Linked DNA regions of Tamandua tetradactyla. Each later gene encodes a partner of the first gene's protein in a complex. Links are inferred from orthologs where the notes say so. Each region holds a gene or a part of one and is shown in the gene's direction. Other genes may lie near its edges. The genes, in order: SIRT5 and PRDX1.

The links.
Region 2: the proteins of SIRT5 (region 1) and PRDX1 are in contact, whole or in part, in a crystal structure (PDB 8Z54), measured with the Homo sapiens proteins. The link is inferred for Tamandua tetradactyla from reciprocal best matches to the Homo sapiens genes SIRT5 and PRDX1. Residues at the interface, in NP_001363727.1 of Homo sapiens: Ala86, Tyr102, Arg105, Gln140, Ile142, His158, Val220, Val221, Trp222, Phe223, Gly224, Glu225, Asn226, Leu227, Leu232, Val253, Val254, Tyr255, Pro256; in NP_001189360.1 of Homo sapiens: Phe195, Ser196, Lys197, Gln198.

The regions. Positions count from the first base shown.
Region 1 is NC_135351.1:16,647,063-16,656,082, forward strand, and holds the start of SIRT5 (NAD-dependent protein deacylase sirtuin-5, mitochondrial), read left to right. Parts: upstream 1-5,549; 5' UTR 5,550-5,570; coding exon 5,571-5,647; intron 5,648-5,692; exon of another isoform or gene 5,693-5,720; intron 5,721-9,020. UniProt on the Homo sapiens protein: NAD-dependent lysine demalonylase, desuccinylase and deglutarylase that specifically removes malonyl, succinyl and glutaryl groups on target proteins.
Region 2 is NC_135328.1:177,772,765-177,781,631, forward strand, and holds the start of PRDX1 (peroxiredoxin-1), read left to right. Parts: upstream 1-5,339; 5' UTR 5,340-5,445; intron 5,446-5,841; exon of another isoform or gene 5,842-5,971; intron 5,972-7,675; 5' UTR 7,676-7,686; coding exon 7,687-7,792; intron 7,793-8,867. UniProt on the Homo sapiens protein: Thiol-specific peroxidase that catalyzes the reduction of hydrogen peroxide and organic hydroperoxides to water and alcohols, respectively.

The DNA.
Region 1 (9,020 bases):
CTACACAGAGATGTCGTGAGCTCAAAAATGATCATAATTGGTGGAAAGTGTGCAGAGCAATGATCAGCATTTGGAAAGAGCTCAGTCAAATGTCAGCTCTTGTTGCTGTTATTCTCATGAGTCCCCCTCTGCCAAATAAAAGGAAGAACATTCTTTGGAACAGTTGTCAAAGTGCAAGGAGTGATTCCTACCTCCTCATGGAAAAGAAATGGGGTGCTCTTCCCCTCCTCTCAAGTGAGGTGGGCTTCAAGACCACCACCCAGAGAGCAGGAACTGTGTGTGCTGGAGCTGGAGGGACTCGGGGACCGGTGTCTGGTAGGTGCTTGTAAAAGGCCAAAGGTGACAGGATGGCTGGAAGGGCTTGTGGGAGCAGAGCACAGGGTCAGGGTTGTGTTGGGAAGGCCTGCATTTCCAGAGTTTGGCAGGAAAGGATGCACGCAGGTTTTCCATGGGCCTCCGTGGTGCTGTGCAAGGGGAGTTGGCGATTCTTTTGCCTTGGGAAAGACCCTACCAGGAAAGCTGTTCTTTTGGTTGCAGGAGTTTCAAACATACCAAGATGCAGAAACTGAGGAGGTTTCCATTCTGTCACAGGAGCTATGGTTAAAAGACCCCATCCCCTCATAAAATGACAAGAGTCAGTCTTTGGAGCCTGGTAAGAATTTGAACCTTACCTTTCAAGTATCCAGAAGAATAAGGAGCAAGATAGAAGAAACTCAGAGGAAAAATGTCCTCAAGCAAGGAACTTTGCCACTTAACTCTTTCCTCCCTTTACCCAATTGTGGACAATCTTCCATTCAGTGGTTAACACCAGTGAGGATAGAGAACTGTAGGTACTTGGTGGGGAGGGGAGGGGTATGCAAATGGAAAGCTTTGTCTGCTGGTCAGGGTGGAAGTGAAAAGATCCAATTGGGAAAAATGTCTTTGAGTGGTACCATGTTATTCTTCCATTTAATATCTTCAAAAAGATAAACTATAACCAACAAAACAAATGACATCATACTGGATACTATAAACATAAATGTCAGGGATTGAATCAAATCCCCCACAAAAGAGGTGCTCAAGTCTGAATCCACATACCTGTGAGTGTGTGCTGGTTTGGAGCTGTTATGTGCCCTACAAAAGGCCATGTTGTTTTAATCCATTCTTGTGGGTGTAGACCTGTTGTGGGTGGGACCATTTGATTAGGTGGTTTCAACTGAGATGTGACCCACCCCTTTCAAGGTGGCTCTTAATCCTTTACTAGAGTCCTTTATGAGAGGATAAAAGACAGAAAAGGCCCAGAGAGCTTAGAGAGAAAAGCCCCGGAGATGCTAAAAGAGGACCCACAGAAACTCAGAAGGCCATCAGAGTCAGGAGCTGAACACAATGAAACTCGGAGCAAAAGACCAGCTGGCCATATTCCTTCCGATGTGACAGAGAAACCCTGGATGCCAGCAGCCTTTCTTCAGAGACGGTATCTTCCTCTTGATGCCTTAATTTGGACATTTTCATGGCCTAAGAACTGTAAATTTGTAAGTTAATAAATCCCCATTGTTAAAGCCAGTCTGTTTCTGTATATTGCATTTCTGCAGCTTTAGCAAAACAGGGTGTCAACCCATTGTGAAAAAAGGAAATTCAGATGCAGTGAGCCAGGGGAAGCCAGAGGAAGCAACCTGAAGTCAGAATAAGCCAGAGAAGAGAGAGAGCATGCCATATGGCTGAGTATTGCCAGCATTAGAACACTGCTAACCCTAGGAAGGACATGGCCTGGCATTGTCTTTTTTTTAAAATTTTATTCACACTATATAATCCATCCTAAGTGTATACTCAGTGTTATATGTGTATAATCAAGTGTATAATCACAGTTATGTATTTATCAGTACAATCAATATGAGAACATTCCCATTTTTTCCAAGAAAACAAACAAAACAATCCCATACCCCTTCCCTTATATTCCCCTATTATTTAAAAAATATTTTTATTGAGAAATATCCACACACATACAGTCCAACAATATATACAATCAATGGCTCACAGTATCATCATAGACTTGTGTATTCTTCACCATGATCCTTTTTAGAACATTTGCATCACTCCTGGCCTGGCATTATCTTGATTTTGGATTTCTAGCCTTCAAAACCATGAGACAAATGCTTGCAGTTTAAACCAACCCATGGTATAGTATTTTTCATAGCAGCTCTGGTAAACTGAGACAATGAGAATGGAAGGTCAGGGCTCTTGGACATTAAATGCATGGGCACCAGTCCCTCACAACCATCCAACTACTGAGAGGCGAGGTGGCTCCTGGTCCAGACTCTGATGCAGCTGCTTCTTCACATCCTCCTTTTCCTCCCAGAGCGTGCAAACACCTGCAATCTTTATTTTCCTATCCACCGCCACTAAGTTCGGTTATCCATGCCTATTTTATGTAAGTACGTGCTGAGCACATTGGTGCTGTGTGTAGCAGGTCTGGAGGAATAGTCTGGGTATGTATTATATGCAAACGTACTGATCCGCCAACAGAGGTTCGAGCACAACCATCCCTCGATAGTGTGTGCCAGAACCCATCTTACGGCAGGTCTCATTCCTGGGGTTGACCAGCCCTCAGGCCTCCCTTGGGAGCCTAGGGAATCTGAGAAGGTGTGCTGAGAGAGCCTTGCTATCTTGCTGTTCTCCTGTGATGGATGGGTGTGGGAGGAGCAGGGTATCTTCATATGGAAAGATGAAGCCGGGACACAGAATCTAACGGAGCTGGGATTTTTGCACAATTTCTAAATTGTCTCTTGTAGTTTTGCCATCTAGATGTTGATTTTCTTTTCTGTTCTTCCTTTGTGTTAGGCAAAAACTCTTAGAAAGTTTCAACCTTCTTGCTCCCTATGTGTCAAAATAAATCAGACAGTAAAAGACACCAAGCATGGTGCTTATGTCCATTTTTATATTTACACTAGAGGTCTATATTTGCACTAGAGTCCACCCCTGAGGGGAAGCATGGTAACCCATTAAGCCAGTGACCCAAAGAGAATGTAAAACTAAGGATGGGGGGTGGATGGGATGGGGATTCTCTTTGCAGAAATAAAGCTTGGCCCGTCTGAACTTCATTAAAAGGAGGTAATTCTACCTTCCAATTTACATGCCTCAAACTGTTATAGCACCTACTGTTATATCCCAGGAAAACCTTTATAGAATGAATTATCCATAAACTGTTTTCTTTGTTTATTATTTATTGTTGTGGGCTCATAAGTAAAAAAATAAAAATAAAAAAGATAAATCGCCTATTCATTTTAGTAAACATAACCAAATCATTATCCTCTAAGTTCTGGGTGTCTTCTCCTGTGAAGCTGTTCATTTATTCATTCATTCATTTAATACATTCTTACTAACTGAGCCATCTACTGTATGGATTGTGAGGAGCTGAGAATATGATAGTAAATAAAAAGGCACAAGAAGTTCTCCTTAAGGGATCTTACAACCTGGGGTGTGTATGGGGAACACGTAATCAGAGAAATACATTTGAAATCTCGACTAGGAAAACTGCTACGGTGCTGTACAAGTCTATACCAGCGGTGAGAGAGTTTACTTAGTGGAGGGGTGCGTGTGGCTTTCTGAGGAAGTGACCATTGAGCGGAGACTGGAAGGGTAAGAGAAGGGAGTGGGAAAAGAGCATTTGGGGAGAGGGAGAGGTTATTTCAGGGCTGAAACCTTTGTTTTGAAAACGCAAGGCCATCAAGAAATTAAGCTGCAATTGCTTGAAAGATGGAAAGGCTGGGGGCTGATGCTTCAAGAAGAGAAAATAGCCTGACACCGCTGGGGAGAATTGGCTCTTGCAAGCCTGGGAGAAGGGATGGGGTGGAATCATGGTGTGATGACTGGGTGGTGGACTCCTAGACTACGACAGAATGTCTCAGAGACGGCAGGGCTTATGAGTAAACAGGGCTACTATTTAGTCTTGTGGACTATGGAAGGCTGCAATGAAAGGTGCTGGCTAGTATGTGATTAGGCTAAGGGATGAACACTTGATGGCCAATAACATAAGCAAAGAAAGCAATGGAACAACACTTTAATGAAAGGCAATATACGTGCTGGCTTGGACCCTTATGGCTGGTGCTGAAACACTCGGGCTCTAATCCCAGCTTAACTCCTTAATAGCTTTGTGATTTAGGCAGGACTTGATCTCTTTAGGCTTCAGTGTCCCGGCCTGTAAACGGAGATAACAGTAACTACTTCATAAGGTAGTAGGGGAGATTTAAATGGCTTAATACATGTCAAGTTCTTAGAATAGTGTCTAACACAGAGTAAGCACCTGTATGTATAAGGGAAAATAGCCAGATATGATAGTGCCACCAATATCCTTAGTCTCTGGGGCGCTGGTACAACCTAGAGGAGCGAACGGAGTCCCAAAGCGGGTTGGGTTTCCAGCCAAACTGCTGCAAATGTTGAGGTTACAGTTAGGGAAAAAAAGTTAATGTAATATTGTTGGCACCCTAATTTCTGGACACTTCCCCTTTTGGTCCATTGGTGGGCCCAAAGCAATTACAGGAAAAATAGTGTTGGCGGTAGACCTGCACCAAAGGAAAGGGGACCGACTTTTCAAGGGGACCCAGACACGTGGAGCTTCATTAGGTTAGAGAGGTCTGCTGGGCTAGCCTGGAAACCTTACTTACCACCCTTTGAAACAGCTCTACGGGGGGGGGGGGGGAAATGAGGGGGAATAACCCCAACATTTGAAATGCTTTGTCCGGAGTTGAGTGTGATCTAGTCGCTAGCTTGAGGAGGAAACGGAGCAATTCGTAATTCACGACATCCGCGGGAAGCGGTGGTGAGAAGGGAAACCTGGGAGCTCTCAAAGACAAAGCGAGAAACGGCTCACCCCACCCCTCCCGTCCCCCAAAGAAAGAAAGAAAACTGATCTTTCAATAAAACGGGACGGGAATCGCTCCCGCGGCTTGCGGGCCCAGACACGGTCTGGGTCGCCGGTAGGGGCCGCTGCAGCCGAGGGCGGCGGGCTGGGTGCGCTCCGCCCCGCGGCCCCCGCCTGGCCCTCCGGGCTCGGGCCCGCCATTGCCGCCTCACGCAGGTGCGTCTCCGCGTGGGTCCCTGGCCGCGGGTCCCAGCCCGCCGCGAGCTTCGGCAGGCTGCGTGTTTCCTCACTCCATGCAGGCCGCTGGGCTCGGAGGGTCGTGGCTGCCCGCGCAGACCTCCGGGGTGGGCCCTCCGCTCGGTCCCGCCGGCAGGGCCCGGAAGGGGCCAGAGGCGGCGGGCGGCCCAGAGGCGCGGGAGGGGAGGCCGCCGAGCCGGCGGGGCTGGGGGACAGGAAGCGAGCTGAGACCGTAGCAGGGCCCGAGCAGGGGGGCGTGGGGGGCTGCTGGGTCAGGGGAGCCCGGGGAGCGCCGAGCAGAGGCTGCCCTTTGAGGGGAGCCCCTCTGGCCCCTGCAGCAGCCCGGGCCGCTGGAGAGGGCGGCGGGGGAGAGGGGGCGGGCCCGGGCCGCGGTGTGGAGGGGGAGCATGTGCCGTGAGCCGAGGTCAGGGCGAGGCTGGGGTGCAGTGGGGCAGCTGGGGCGTGCAGTAGCGGCCTGCCCGGCGATGGAGGGGGCATGCGGAGAAGGCGGCGGGCGTGGCCGCGTGGAGCCCTGGGCGCCCTGGAGGAGGGGCCACGGCGTGCGGGCCTCAGGTGGGAAGAGCGCAGGGACCGAGGGGAGGGCGGGATGAACCAGCCGAGGACGCGAGAAGGAGCAGCCAGGGAGGTAGGTGGAAAGCCGGGAGAGGCTGGAGCCTGGCAGCCAGGGGAAGCGAGTGTTCCCGGAGGAGGGACCAACTGGGTCACAGGCTGTTCATGACCAAGTCGGAGGCTGGAAATGGACCACTGGGTTTAGTAACGTAGAGGTCGCTGGTGACCTTGACCAAGGCAGGTAGGGGGGCCGGGGGAGGGAGTGAAGTCAGTTCCTGAGGGTAGACACCTGGGGCTGGTGCCAAGCGCTGCATTCCGCTCATAGGTGTGCAAAATGTATCTGTTGAATACCTGTGAGTTGTGTAAGTTTTTGCATTTCCTTTACAATATAATTACCATGTAGTTTAAGTTAATGTTCTCTGGAAAATTTTTCTCAAATTCCTGACATGATCTTTGATTTACTGTTTTTTTGTTTTGCTTTGTTTTCAGAATTAGAGTGGCCCTTTTTTCCCACACAGGGAGCATACAGGCTTTTTTCTTCTAATTTGGAAGGTGAGGTTCAGGTGTGTAAGAAAACCTCGTTAAAAAGGGGACTGCCCTTAAGACAGAGGAGTCAGTTTACAGGTGCCTGTCCAGCATCCAGAAAGTTCCCAATGACAGTGAATGAGTTTATTTCCTCCCTAGAAGCGTCTTTTCTTACCCTGAGTATAAAATCAAGGCAGAGGGCAGTTTGATGGTGGCTCAGAAGCAGAATTCTTGCCTTCCATTCTGGAGACCCGGGTTGGGTTCCCGGTGTCTGCCCATGCAAAAAGAAATCAAGGCAGAGTAACTGGTGACTTTACCCAGGCACTTAAAGATATATATATAATTGACACATCTTCATACATATATAGTCCATATGTGGTGAAAAATCAGTGGCTCACAGTATCATCACATAGTTGTGTATTCATCACTGTTCTAGTTTGCTAGCTGCCGGAATGCAACACATCGGAGATGGATTGACTTTTAATAAAAGGGGATTTATTTAGTTAGTTCTTCAGAGAAAAGGCAGCTAACTTTCAACTGATGTTCGTTCTTACGTGGGAATGCACAGGGTGATCTCTGCTGGCCTTCTCTCCAGGCCTCTGGGTTCCAACAACTTTCCCTGGGGTGATTTCTTTCTGCATCTCCAAAGGCCTGGGCTGAGCTGGTTGGCCTGTGCTGTGTTGAGCTCTCTCATTTAAGCACCAGCCAGTTAAGTCAAACATCCTTCATTGCAGCAGGCATGCCTCCTAGCCGACTGCCGATGTAATCAGCTGCAGATGAGGTTCACGTACCATTGGCTCATGTGCACAGCACCAGAACTAGGTGACAACTGAATCTAACTACCACAATCACCAAGATAATTTTTCAGCACATATGCATCGTTCCAGTAAAAGAAATAAAAGGAAAAAACTCATACATCCCATACCCCTTACCCCTCCCTCTCATTCACTAGTGTATTTGTATCTACCCAGTTTATTTTACCCCTTATCGCCCCTATTATTTATTTTTATCCATATATATTTATTCATCTGTCCATACCCTTGATAAAAGGAGCATCAGACATAAGGTTTCTCACAATCACACAGTCACATTGTAAAGGCTGTATAGTTATACGATTGCCCTCGAGAATCAGAGCTGTTGGAACCCAGCTCCATGGTTTCAGGTACTTCCCTCCAGCCACTTCAATACACCATAAACTATAAAAAGAGTTATCTATGTAATGCATAAGAATAGCCCCCAAGGTAAACTCTCCACTCTGTTTGAAATCTCTCAACCTCTGAAACTTTATTTTGTCTCATTTCTCTCTTCCCCCATTTGGTCAAGAAGGCTTTCTCAATCCCATCATGCCAGGTCCCGGCTCGTCCTGAGAATTCTGTCCTATGATGCCAGACCCCTAGGAGTCATGTCCCATGTAATGGGGAGGGTAGTGAGTTTATCTCTCGAGTTGACTTAGAGAGGGAGAGGTCCAGGGCTCTTTTCACCCCTGAGGACTCCTGGATTAGATAATCTGAGTTTCCAGTTTCTCAGTGTCCTGCCTTCCCTCCTAGTCCAGCATTTGCTTTTAGACTCCAACGGGGTTGTAAGCGTGCAGAAGAAGGTAGAACTACCTTTTACATATTTATGTGCATAAGTATTTATGTAATCACATATAGTGTGTATGTAATTAGACATTACAATTCACGTAAGATGAGAACTAAAGTTATCTTCCCCCAAAGTACTTCTTGATTGTATTTCCTAGGCAAAGAATTTAGAATCTAGTGGTTTCTGGAAATATTGAAACATTAATAAGTAAAATTTTATTCTATTTTATTACTTTGAGTACAAGTGTTATGATGAAAGTAATTATTACGTACTAATGAAAACTCTTAAATAGAAAAACCCAGGTGACAAACTAGGAACATTTTACCCAGATAATACAACTCCTGATTTTGCCAAGTAAAAATCCCAATATATGTTCCAATTTTTTATGTCCCAAAATGTCCTTCTAAAAAATGTGTGTATGTATGTGTGTGTGCATATATATTATGTAATTAAAGCAGTTGTAGGTTTACAAAAGAATCGCCCAGAAAGTATAAACTTCTAAAATATGCCCCATATGCAATTTTTCCTATTCCTATTTTGCATTAGTGTGATACCTTTGTTACAACTGATGAAGCAGTGCTATTTAATTGTTTACCTTAGGGCATACTCTTTGTGTTATGAAATTCTGTGGTTTTTTTTTTTTTTTTAATTTATGATGGTAAACTTAAAATTGCCCATTGTAACCACTTTCAGCTGTACAATTCAGTGGTGTTAATGACATTCACAGTATTGGACAATGGTTACTATCATCCATTGCCAAAACGTTTCCATTATGCCAAACAGAAACTCTGTATCAATTAAGCATTCACTCCCTCTTCCTGCGCCTGGTAACCTGTATTCTAATTTTTGAGTCTATGAATTTGGATATTCTAGTTATTTTATATGAGCTAGATCATATGTTTTTCCTTTTGTGTTTAGCTTATTTCACTCAATGTGAAGTCTTCAGGGTTCATCCACATCGTAGGATGTACCAGAAGTCATTTCTTTTTACAGGTGAAAGTATTCCATTATATATATATTGTACCACATTTTGTTCATTCATCTGTCAATGAGCATTTGAGTTGCTGCTACCTTTTGGCTATTGTGAATAATGCCATTACGCATATTGGGTGCAAATGTATGTGTTTGAGTCCCAGCTTTCAGTTCTTTTGGGGTATATATCTAGAAGTGAGATTGCTCATATGATAATTCTATTTTTAACATTCTGAAGAACCACCAAACTTTTCCACAGTGGCTGAATCATTTTACCTTCTCACCAGCAGTGTAAGAG
Region 2 (8,867 bases), on another chromosome or scaffold:
TTTTGATGCAGACATTGCCAGAACTACCATTGGAGATAAAGTTTTGGGGGCTCTGAAGGCTGCTATGGATTCACGCTTGTCTGTCTTTCACAGTACCAAACAATTACCTGATTATGATTCAGAAAGCAAGGCATTCAATGCAGAAGTATACTGGAAGTACTTCTTGAGTCAGAAAGTTGCTGATTATATTTGCTACCTAATAGAAGAAGATGAAGATACTTACAAGAAACAATTCTCTCAATGCAGAAAGAACGATGGAACTCCAGACATGATAAAGGAGATGTAAAAGACAGCTTATGCGGCTATACGAATCCAGAGGCAGCTGCAAAATGAAGTGACTGCAGACAGAATTGGAGTCTCTGGCTGAAGTGTTTCTCTAGTATCACCTCAACAAGCAGGGGGACAGTGTCTAAACCCTGAAGATTGAGTTTATGGGGCAACAAGCCTGTTCAGTCCACCCTGCCTGTTCTCCCCAGATGACAAATACTAGTGACACCGAATCACCATCAAGAAGCGCTTCAAGGTGCTCATGACCCAGCAAACACTGCCTGTCTTCTGAGGGTCCCTCACATTTCATGTTTCTTTAGTTGCTTGCTATGCCCTCAAAATCTTTCCTTAAACAAACTTTTCAATCTGTGAGACCTGAAGCCCTGCTTTACCATCCTTGCTCTCTGGAATCCAGTTGCACTGCCTCTGATCATGCAGTTAACAACCATGTTAGCATCTCTTATAATGGGCAGTGATTCATCTTGTGAATCACTGTTGGGTTATTAAAGACAAAATTATTTAAAAGAAAGAGAATCCAGTCTATGAGAAAAACCATAAGGAGGTTAAAAAGAAGAGATGGAATTGCCCCCAAATGTCTCTTGCTGGGATGAAAGACTGGGTACTCAAGAAGGCAAGCTTCCTCAGAGCTCAAGAAGTGGGCTGTTGAGAGCTAAACCAAATAATTTTGCATGAAGATGCTACAAATAAAGGCAAACATTTTGACCAACCCGAAAATAAACTGACAACAAACAAATAAATAATACATAGCTATCCTGAGACATCTACTTTTATACTCATATTGAATGGCTTTACCTGTTAGCTAATCTGTTCTGATAGGAAGAAAGAACAATGGCTGTTGATGAGTCAGGTAACCTACCACAGCAAATTAGCACAAAGATGTAACAACTGCTTTGTTAAGCAAAAGCCAGATGATGTCAAAGGACATTGTATGAATAAAGGTTTCACTAATCTTAAACAGAGAAAAGTGGTAGGAGAATTGAGTCATTATCACAGGGTGAAGGCAGTATATAGGTATGTGGAATCCAAAAGGAGCTACACTGTATTCATGGAAGGTATTTGCTCGCAGAAATCTCATCTTATATATTTCATCCTGCAATAGTTCAGCAGTAGTAAGGGCAGGAGCAATTAACATGGAAATAACTTTCCATATTGTATCATGGGGCAACCTATTGAATAAATGGTTTGAATGAAAAATTAAAATGAAAGTTAATTAAATTTAATCAATTAAACCAACATTAGAAGTCCTCAACAATGTTTTTCTTTTTACAAGGGACCACATTACTCCTGTTTGAGAAAACTACCTTAAGATAATAGATGGAGGGAGCTAAATTCTATGAAGAACTGGGCTAGGAACCAGTGCTTTGCCCAGTGAATAAGTTATAGTCGCTTGAAATGGGCAGAGAAAATTATTAAAAAGCCTCACTTCTAAGAAATAGAGCAAAACAGGATTTATGCAAACATTTTCTCAGTAGCTGCCCTCACCTCAGGCAATTCTTCCTAACAAAGCCCTACCCAAGTCCCTCATCAATCAACAACTTCATTAGTTTTTTTTTTTTTTTTAATTTAAAAGATTTTATAGGAAATTTAGTAAATTTCAAACTACAGTTTTTTTTTGTTACCTTGTTTCAGGTGCAATACACTTCAATGATGATGGCGGTTACTAGAGGAAACAGTAATTATTCCTGGGAGAAACAGTTTATTTTCATGACTGGCACTTTGCCATAAAATGCTGTTCTTTTTTAGCTGTTTTTGTTCCTTTGATCTTTGATTGTTTTTGTTCCTTCTCCCAACCCATAGAAATTCTCTGTGGTTCTGGTCTTGGATCACTTCTTTCCACTTCTCAGGGACCTCATTTATTCTCACAGTTTCAAGTATCCTTGATATTGTCAGAATCAATATAATTATTTATGATGTCAGAATCAATATAATTCTTTACGTTATTTAACAAATCCTATTGTACTTACCATGAGCCAGGAATCACGCTTCTAAGTATTAGGGGTCACATGAATACAATAGGAAGGGTTCCTTAAGTTTCCACATATCCAACCGACATGTCTTCTTGGCCATTTCCTCATGGAACCCCAAATTCAACATGCCCCAAAGTGGGGTCTTTATCATCTTCCCCCAAATCTGTTTCACATTTCTGTAAATTGCACATCTCTTCATTCAGTTCCCCTGGGACTCACTCCCTATAAATGATTCCCAGTTCTTGCAAATTGGGAAAATCTGCAGTTCTTGCAAAGTTCTTGCCACCTAATCCCAACTTTCCACACTTGGCACACTGCCTTCACTCAGACTTTCTACCTCTTTTCTCCTAGTCCTGGTAACAGCCTGCTTACTGGTCCCATATCTTCTTGGTCCTCTAAATCTATTCTCTATGCAGCTGCCAGAATGATCAGTAACAGAGCTTGATGTGGACATTCTTATATTCAAAACTCTTTAATCACCCACACCTCCTGATATAAAATCCAAACTCCTCAGTCTGGTTTATGAGGTGCATCGTGACCTGTTTCTGCCCACATTCTTTCCTCTACGTTCTAGTCCTTGGCATTTGCATTCTACTAATATTGAACTACCAGTAGTTCCCCAAACACATACTGTTTCCTATCCTGCTCTGTTCTCAGCTTGGAACCCCTTTCCCTGATCTCTCTCTCCCTAGCTAGCTTTTTAGAGTTCCTTCAACATACATCAGTATTCTTATTCTTCTTTGATGTCTGATGACAAAGCAGAGTGTTAAATAGAAGCACAATGAATGTGTTAACTCAACTTCTGTGCTGTTGATTTGCTGATTCTCAAATCTACATCTCCAATGACAATCTCTGGACACCACCACCTGAATATCCTATAAGCATCTGAAATGCTGTTTGCCTCAAACTAAACTGATTATCTTCTCCTTTAAGAGTAGATTTCAGAATCATACCACCTGTTTAGACCACTGTGAGCTGTGAGGCACAATGCTAGGGGACACCTTTACATTATAGTTCATGTAAATATTCCATTTGAATATTATGCAACCCGATGGTTCTGCTACCCAGGTTAGAAGCTGACTTCAATGGATGTTAGCTGTGACCTTGTACAATTTCCCAAATTTCTTAGGCATCAGGTGCCTCATCTGCAAAACAGGTAGTACTCAATAAATGTTTGTCATTATTTTTAACCTAGAACCTGCGTATCCTCCAATGTCCCCTATCCCATTGGTTAATGGCATCACCCTTGATTATGTTGCCAAGATAAGAAACCTAGGATTTAACCTACCCCTTCTTCTTATCTTAAATCCTGTAGAAATAACCCTTGTATATCTTCTCTGCTTTCCATCCCTGCTGCCAATACCCTATGATGGTTCTGAGTCTTCTCTTGTCTGAATCTTTGCAGTAGCCTCTTAGCTGTTCTCTTTGCCTTTATGTCCTAATTATTAAGTTCACCCATCACACAGCTGCCAGAGCAATTTTCCTAAAACACAGTTCAAATAATTTAATTCCACATCCCCCAAATCTTCAGTACATTCTAATATTTATTAGGCAATTTTCCCATGCCATTTACTGGCTAGGTTCTGGTACTACAAAGACAAATAAAACAGGAATAGTCCTTCCCAGACAGACTACTAGTGAACAAACGAGGACAACATAATGAGATATGTGTCAAAATAGAGCTACAGATATGTATCAGGTCCTGTAGGAGGATAAAAGAGAAAAGCCTCTACCCCATTTTGGTAATTTTACTATTATCTGGGGAAGGAGATTCCATAAACATACATACACAAGTGTGCAACAGATTTTTTCTTTTCTCAGAACTATCCTCCTATTTAAATTTTTTATATAACCAAGGGGTTGTTGATCTTTCCTTGGGCCTAGATAACCCTTTTGGCTCTTTTTATGGGGGTGGGGTGGGGTGGGGGGTAAGGAGGTGCAAGGGCCAGGAATTGAACCCAGGTTTCCTGTATGGCATGTGAGAGTTCTACCACTGAAGTACCTGTGGACCCCACTCTTTTGTTTCTTAAATGAAACAAAATAAACCCAAGGGCCCAGCCCATGGCCTGGTGCATGGTGAATACAATAAATGGTCATTTTCTTCTGGCTGAAGTGTGGCTGTGTGCTTTTGTTTAGTCTGATCATAGCAATAAACATCCAGCATTAAGCCCAAAACAACTCCCTCCCCTACGGCCCCCCACCACTGAAAATGAGTAATGCCAAATAATTGCTCAGCCTTGGAGAAAGAAAAAGTAACTACAAAAATCATTACTTTTGCAAGGTAGGATGAAAAATACCAAAAAAATTGGAAATGCTCAGCCAGCATGACACAGCACTTCCCATTTCTTATCCACGCTATAACTCCAAGGGAGTTAATAAGATGGGGGAGGGGTAGAAGCCCAGAAAAGGGGACACTAGATTATTTATTAAACACTGACTGACTGAGTTCCTCTATCAGGTATTGTTGTGACCTGGGGACACAGAATGGATGTGATCCAAGTACACTATCCTCCAGAAAGTCTAAAAGCAAAAGGAAGCTATGTAAACAAGTAAAACAGCTTAAAAGGTTTTTCCCCCTCCTTTGATACATGGACTATATTGCTTGGGCACAATGGAGGGAATATCAATTCTGGGGACGACCAAAGTTTAGGAACAGCTTCAGAGAAGGTAAAACTTGAGCTAAGTCTTGAAAGACTTTTTCTCTGGGCCAGTTAGGAAGCAACAGGCTCTTCAGGCTTGAACAAAATTCTAAAGGGTTGCAACAGTTCACATCGTTCAGAATTATAATTCAGGAGGACTAAGAGAGTAATAATAAATAATAGCTAACGTTTCTAATGTATACTAAGAGCTAGGTACGGTGATAAGTAATTTACGCAGATAGCTAATATCAGTTAATCTTCACAACAATACCATGAAATATTAATATTACTCCCAATTTTGCAGGTCAGAAAAAGTGAGGGTTAGCAGAATTAAGAATCCTACCCCAAGGTCACACAAAACGATAGTAGCTTTAATTCAAGGAACTGACTACAGAGCCCCAGTTTTTTTAACCACAAGTCAGAAGAGTGACATGATCAGATTTCACAAAGATTCCTTCCAGCCGCAGAGTAAGGGATGCATGGGAGATGGAAAGCAGCAAGCCTGTGATCTGGGTGAACGACGAAGGAGGGTGTCTCAAAAGTTAACAACGGTGAGGAATCTGGCAGAAGCTTCGGGGACCGAGACGGATTTGAAAAACATTTAGTTAATGTTCTCCGGGCTTGGTGAGGAACTGCCTTGGTCCTCCGTGGCAGCAGCGAGGACTTTTAACCAGGTTTGGGCCCTGAGGGCACAGCGCGCCGGGGTTCCAGAAGCAAGGGAATTGCACCTACCTCCCTATTCCCGCCCCGCAGACATCCTAAATTTAACGAAGGCTTTTGGGTTCCGGGCGGACGAGAAAAGACCACGCTCTCGCACATCAACAATAAACGGCGGGAAAAGGTGATTGATGGTTTCCGCGCTCACACCGCCCCCGGCAAGGAAAATGCTGAGTCATTCTAGCGGGGTGGGGGTGGGGGGCGGGGCGCAGGGCAGAAACCCCCTCCTTATCTCCTCTTCTCGCACCCCCGACCCGTTTCGACTCTCGCGAGAGCCTCACAAGTTATATAGACAGCGCCCCGCGCGGACTTTGCGCGTCCTCTTCCCGGCTGTTCTGCGTAGCTTTCTTTGGGTATTTGGTGAGTAAGTCCACCGCGTCCTCGGTGGGGCCGAGCGTCACTCACCCCCCCCACCCCACCCCACCCCCGCCGCCGCCTCCCCTTCTCCTTGGGGCTTGCACGGGCTCCTCTGGAGGTGTTGTGGTGGTTTAGGCGGCCGGGGGAGAGCCTGGCGTCCTACGATCCTCGGGCGACATGCGCACCTCCCACGTGGGCCCCCCCCTCGAGGGTTGGTTGAAGATGGAGACTTTCGCCGGCTCCAGTATTCGCTTATTCCGAACTGGGGGCGCTGGTTGGCTTGGAGGGGCGGGGTGTGTAGTGGGGCAGCTCTCCTCGACTGGCCTCCCGAGGGGCGGGGCGGGTTCGGGAATCTTCTAGAATGAACCTGGAACCTAACCTGTGGCTGCAGAGGGCTGCCTTTTCTTGTTGGTCGTGTGGTAGGGTAAACGCCATTTCCTGCTCTGAGCTGTGACTTGGCTGTGGAGCCTTGAGTACCTTGCATCCCTTTTCGTTCATCATGTTCCCATCTGCAGAGTGAGATGTGTTTTAGATAATTCCACATGCTGTCGCTGAAGACTGCGCACTCTTATGCTGGAGCTTTCCGAAGTGGATTTAGGGGTGTGGCCCTGGCCTAAGTTATTGGGCAGATCCCCTGAGGGGGCTGCACCGGTGGGAAGTCGAGCAGCCTTTACCCTTCGGCTGGGGGTGGGGTGGTGGGGGCGCACCTTCAAAAGTAGGTTTGGATGAGGCTATATTTGTTAGGGTCACACCCCGTAGTTTGGTTTCCTATTTGCAGCGAGCCTTACTGTTTCTTTGAAAGGGTGTTACAAGATTAAAAAAACAAAAGAAAAAACAGGCAGTAACAAGTGTCCCATGGTCGATCCTCGGCGTTCTTACCTAGTTTCTTTTGGCTCTCTTATTATGAACCAAGAGCTTCAGGACCTACTGGAAAAATAGGGTCTTGGGACTTTCAAACAGATAATTTGCTGGGTTGAAGCTTATCCTCATTATCTTGGTGTTGACCTGGGTAAGTCTAGTGCAACATTGTTTTTTATCAGTGAACTGGTTTTTGCTCTACTTACTTTCCCCCCATGATTTTGGCCTTGAGGTCAGAAACCCACTTTTGAAAGGACTTCTAGGGCTAAACAGAAGACAAGACCAAAATCCTGGTCTTGCCTCTTAAAAAGTCAGGTTGGCTTTAAGGTGTGGATTTGACACACTGGCCTAGGAAACAGTTCATTCGGGCTTCACGCTTTATGAAGGCACGTGGAGGCAAATTCTGGAGAAAGGGTAATATGACCACGTTAGACATTCAGTGTGCCATTGTCCATATAGATTCTGGTTTGAGGGTCTGCACTTCCTTTTCTTTGCTTCTGTTCAGTAATGCAGAAGAAATGCCATTTCATAAATTGATGGTTCAGAAAAAGTGATAGGGGTGACGTCAACCTATAAAAAAATTATTGTTTTAAGTGAAAACAAAGACTGAGATTCAGACTTGTAATAACTGGTTTGTTCCAAAAGCGGAAAGCTCAGATTCTGGTCCTTCCATTGTGTCCCCTGGCTGCTGGTTTGTTCTTTAAAAGAGAAAAACAAACAATTAGTGCATGTATCTAGAGCCAGTGGATAATTCCTTGCTTTTTCTGCAGCTAAATCCCTAAGTAAATGAAGGCTGCTGGTTTAAGTTTGTTTCTGATTAATCCATTTTCTCTAATTTGTCTTTTGCAGCTGATAGCAAGATGTCTTCAGGAACTGCCAAAATTGGGCACCCTGCCCCCAACTTCAAAGCCACAGCTGTTATGCCAGATGGTCAGTTCAAAGATATCAGCCTCTCTGATTACAAAGGTAAGAGTAGTTACATTGGACTTATTAAAATGGAATTATTTTATAATTTAGGGATGGCTAGTTGGATTTCTGTATCTCTGTTATACTCAGTTGTAAAATACTTTGTATCTCCTAGGTCAAGGTGCTTAAGTGAAGTGATGATCACATGATAAACAGTGATCACAGGGTAACTATCCTAGGTCTAGGCATCTGCTGGAGAAAGCACATGCTTCATTATGTATCACATATTAGCTCAATTTGATTTCTTAGTTACTCTTTCTTAATTGTGTAATTGGGGAAAAATTATCATTATTAACTCATTATAAGAGGCTTTCCACATTTTAAATTTGATTGCATCTGGACCTTTAAGTCTATGAAGCTGTGATACTACTTGTTCAGTAGTGATTGTAAAATGTGTGTCACAGCTGCTACATTATTAGGCAGAGGGCTGAGGACCAATCCCTTCACTATTTTGCCACCAAAAGAAAAGCCGATGTCACAGAACAGTTTCCCTTTCTGTTGTCATAGTTTCATGCAGACATTTGGCAAACTCGAAAGAGGTTTTCCATTTCATTGTCGTGCAGTCCCAGAGCATCCAAGTCTCCTGGGATAATTGAAAGTATAGATTAGTTAGAATGCAAACCTGAAACTCAGTTATCATGTGTACCTTTTTTAGTGGTATAGTGTCAAGTCCTGAAATCATCTTTTGGGTAGAATATGCTACTAGGTTTCCTAATACATCATACTTGTTGGTTGTTATGAGAGCAGGTAAGTAGAGTTCTGTGGAGGGAAGCTCCTCTTGGCAAACAAGCTAAGTAGCACTAGAGGGAGGTGACACTGTCCCATGAGTATAGGCATGAAGTCTAGGAGGAGCTGTTCTCTGCTTTTCAGGGCTCAGTCTTCCCTGGCTTCAAAGTGCTTGTTAGGCGGAGCCCTGGAGGGGTTGCTTAGATGAGTCAGTTTGTAGTGATTTTACTTTTCAAAGTGAATGTCAAAAAAGGCCTCCTATTTTGACTTCCAAACAGTGCTGCTACCTGGAAATAAGTGAATAGGTGAATTGAGTTGCTCCAAAAGCTCAGTCCATCAGGTGTGGTGA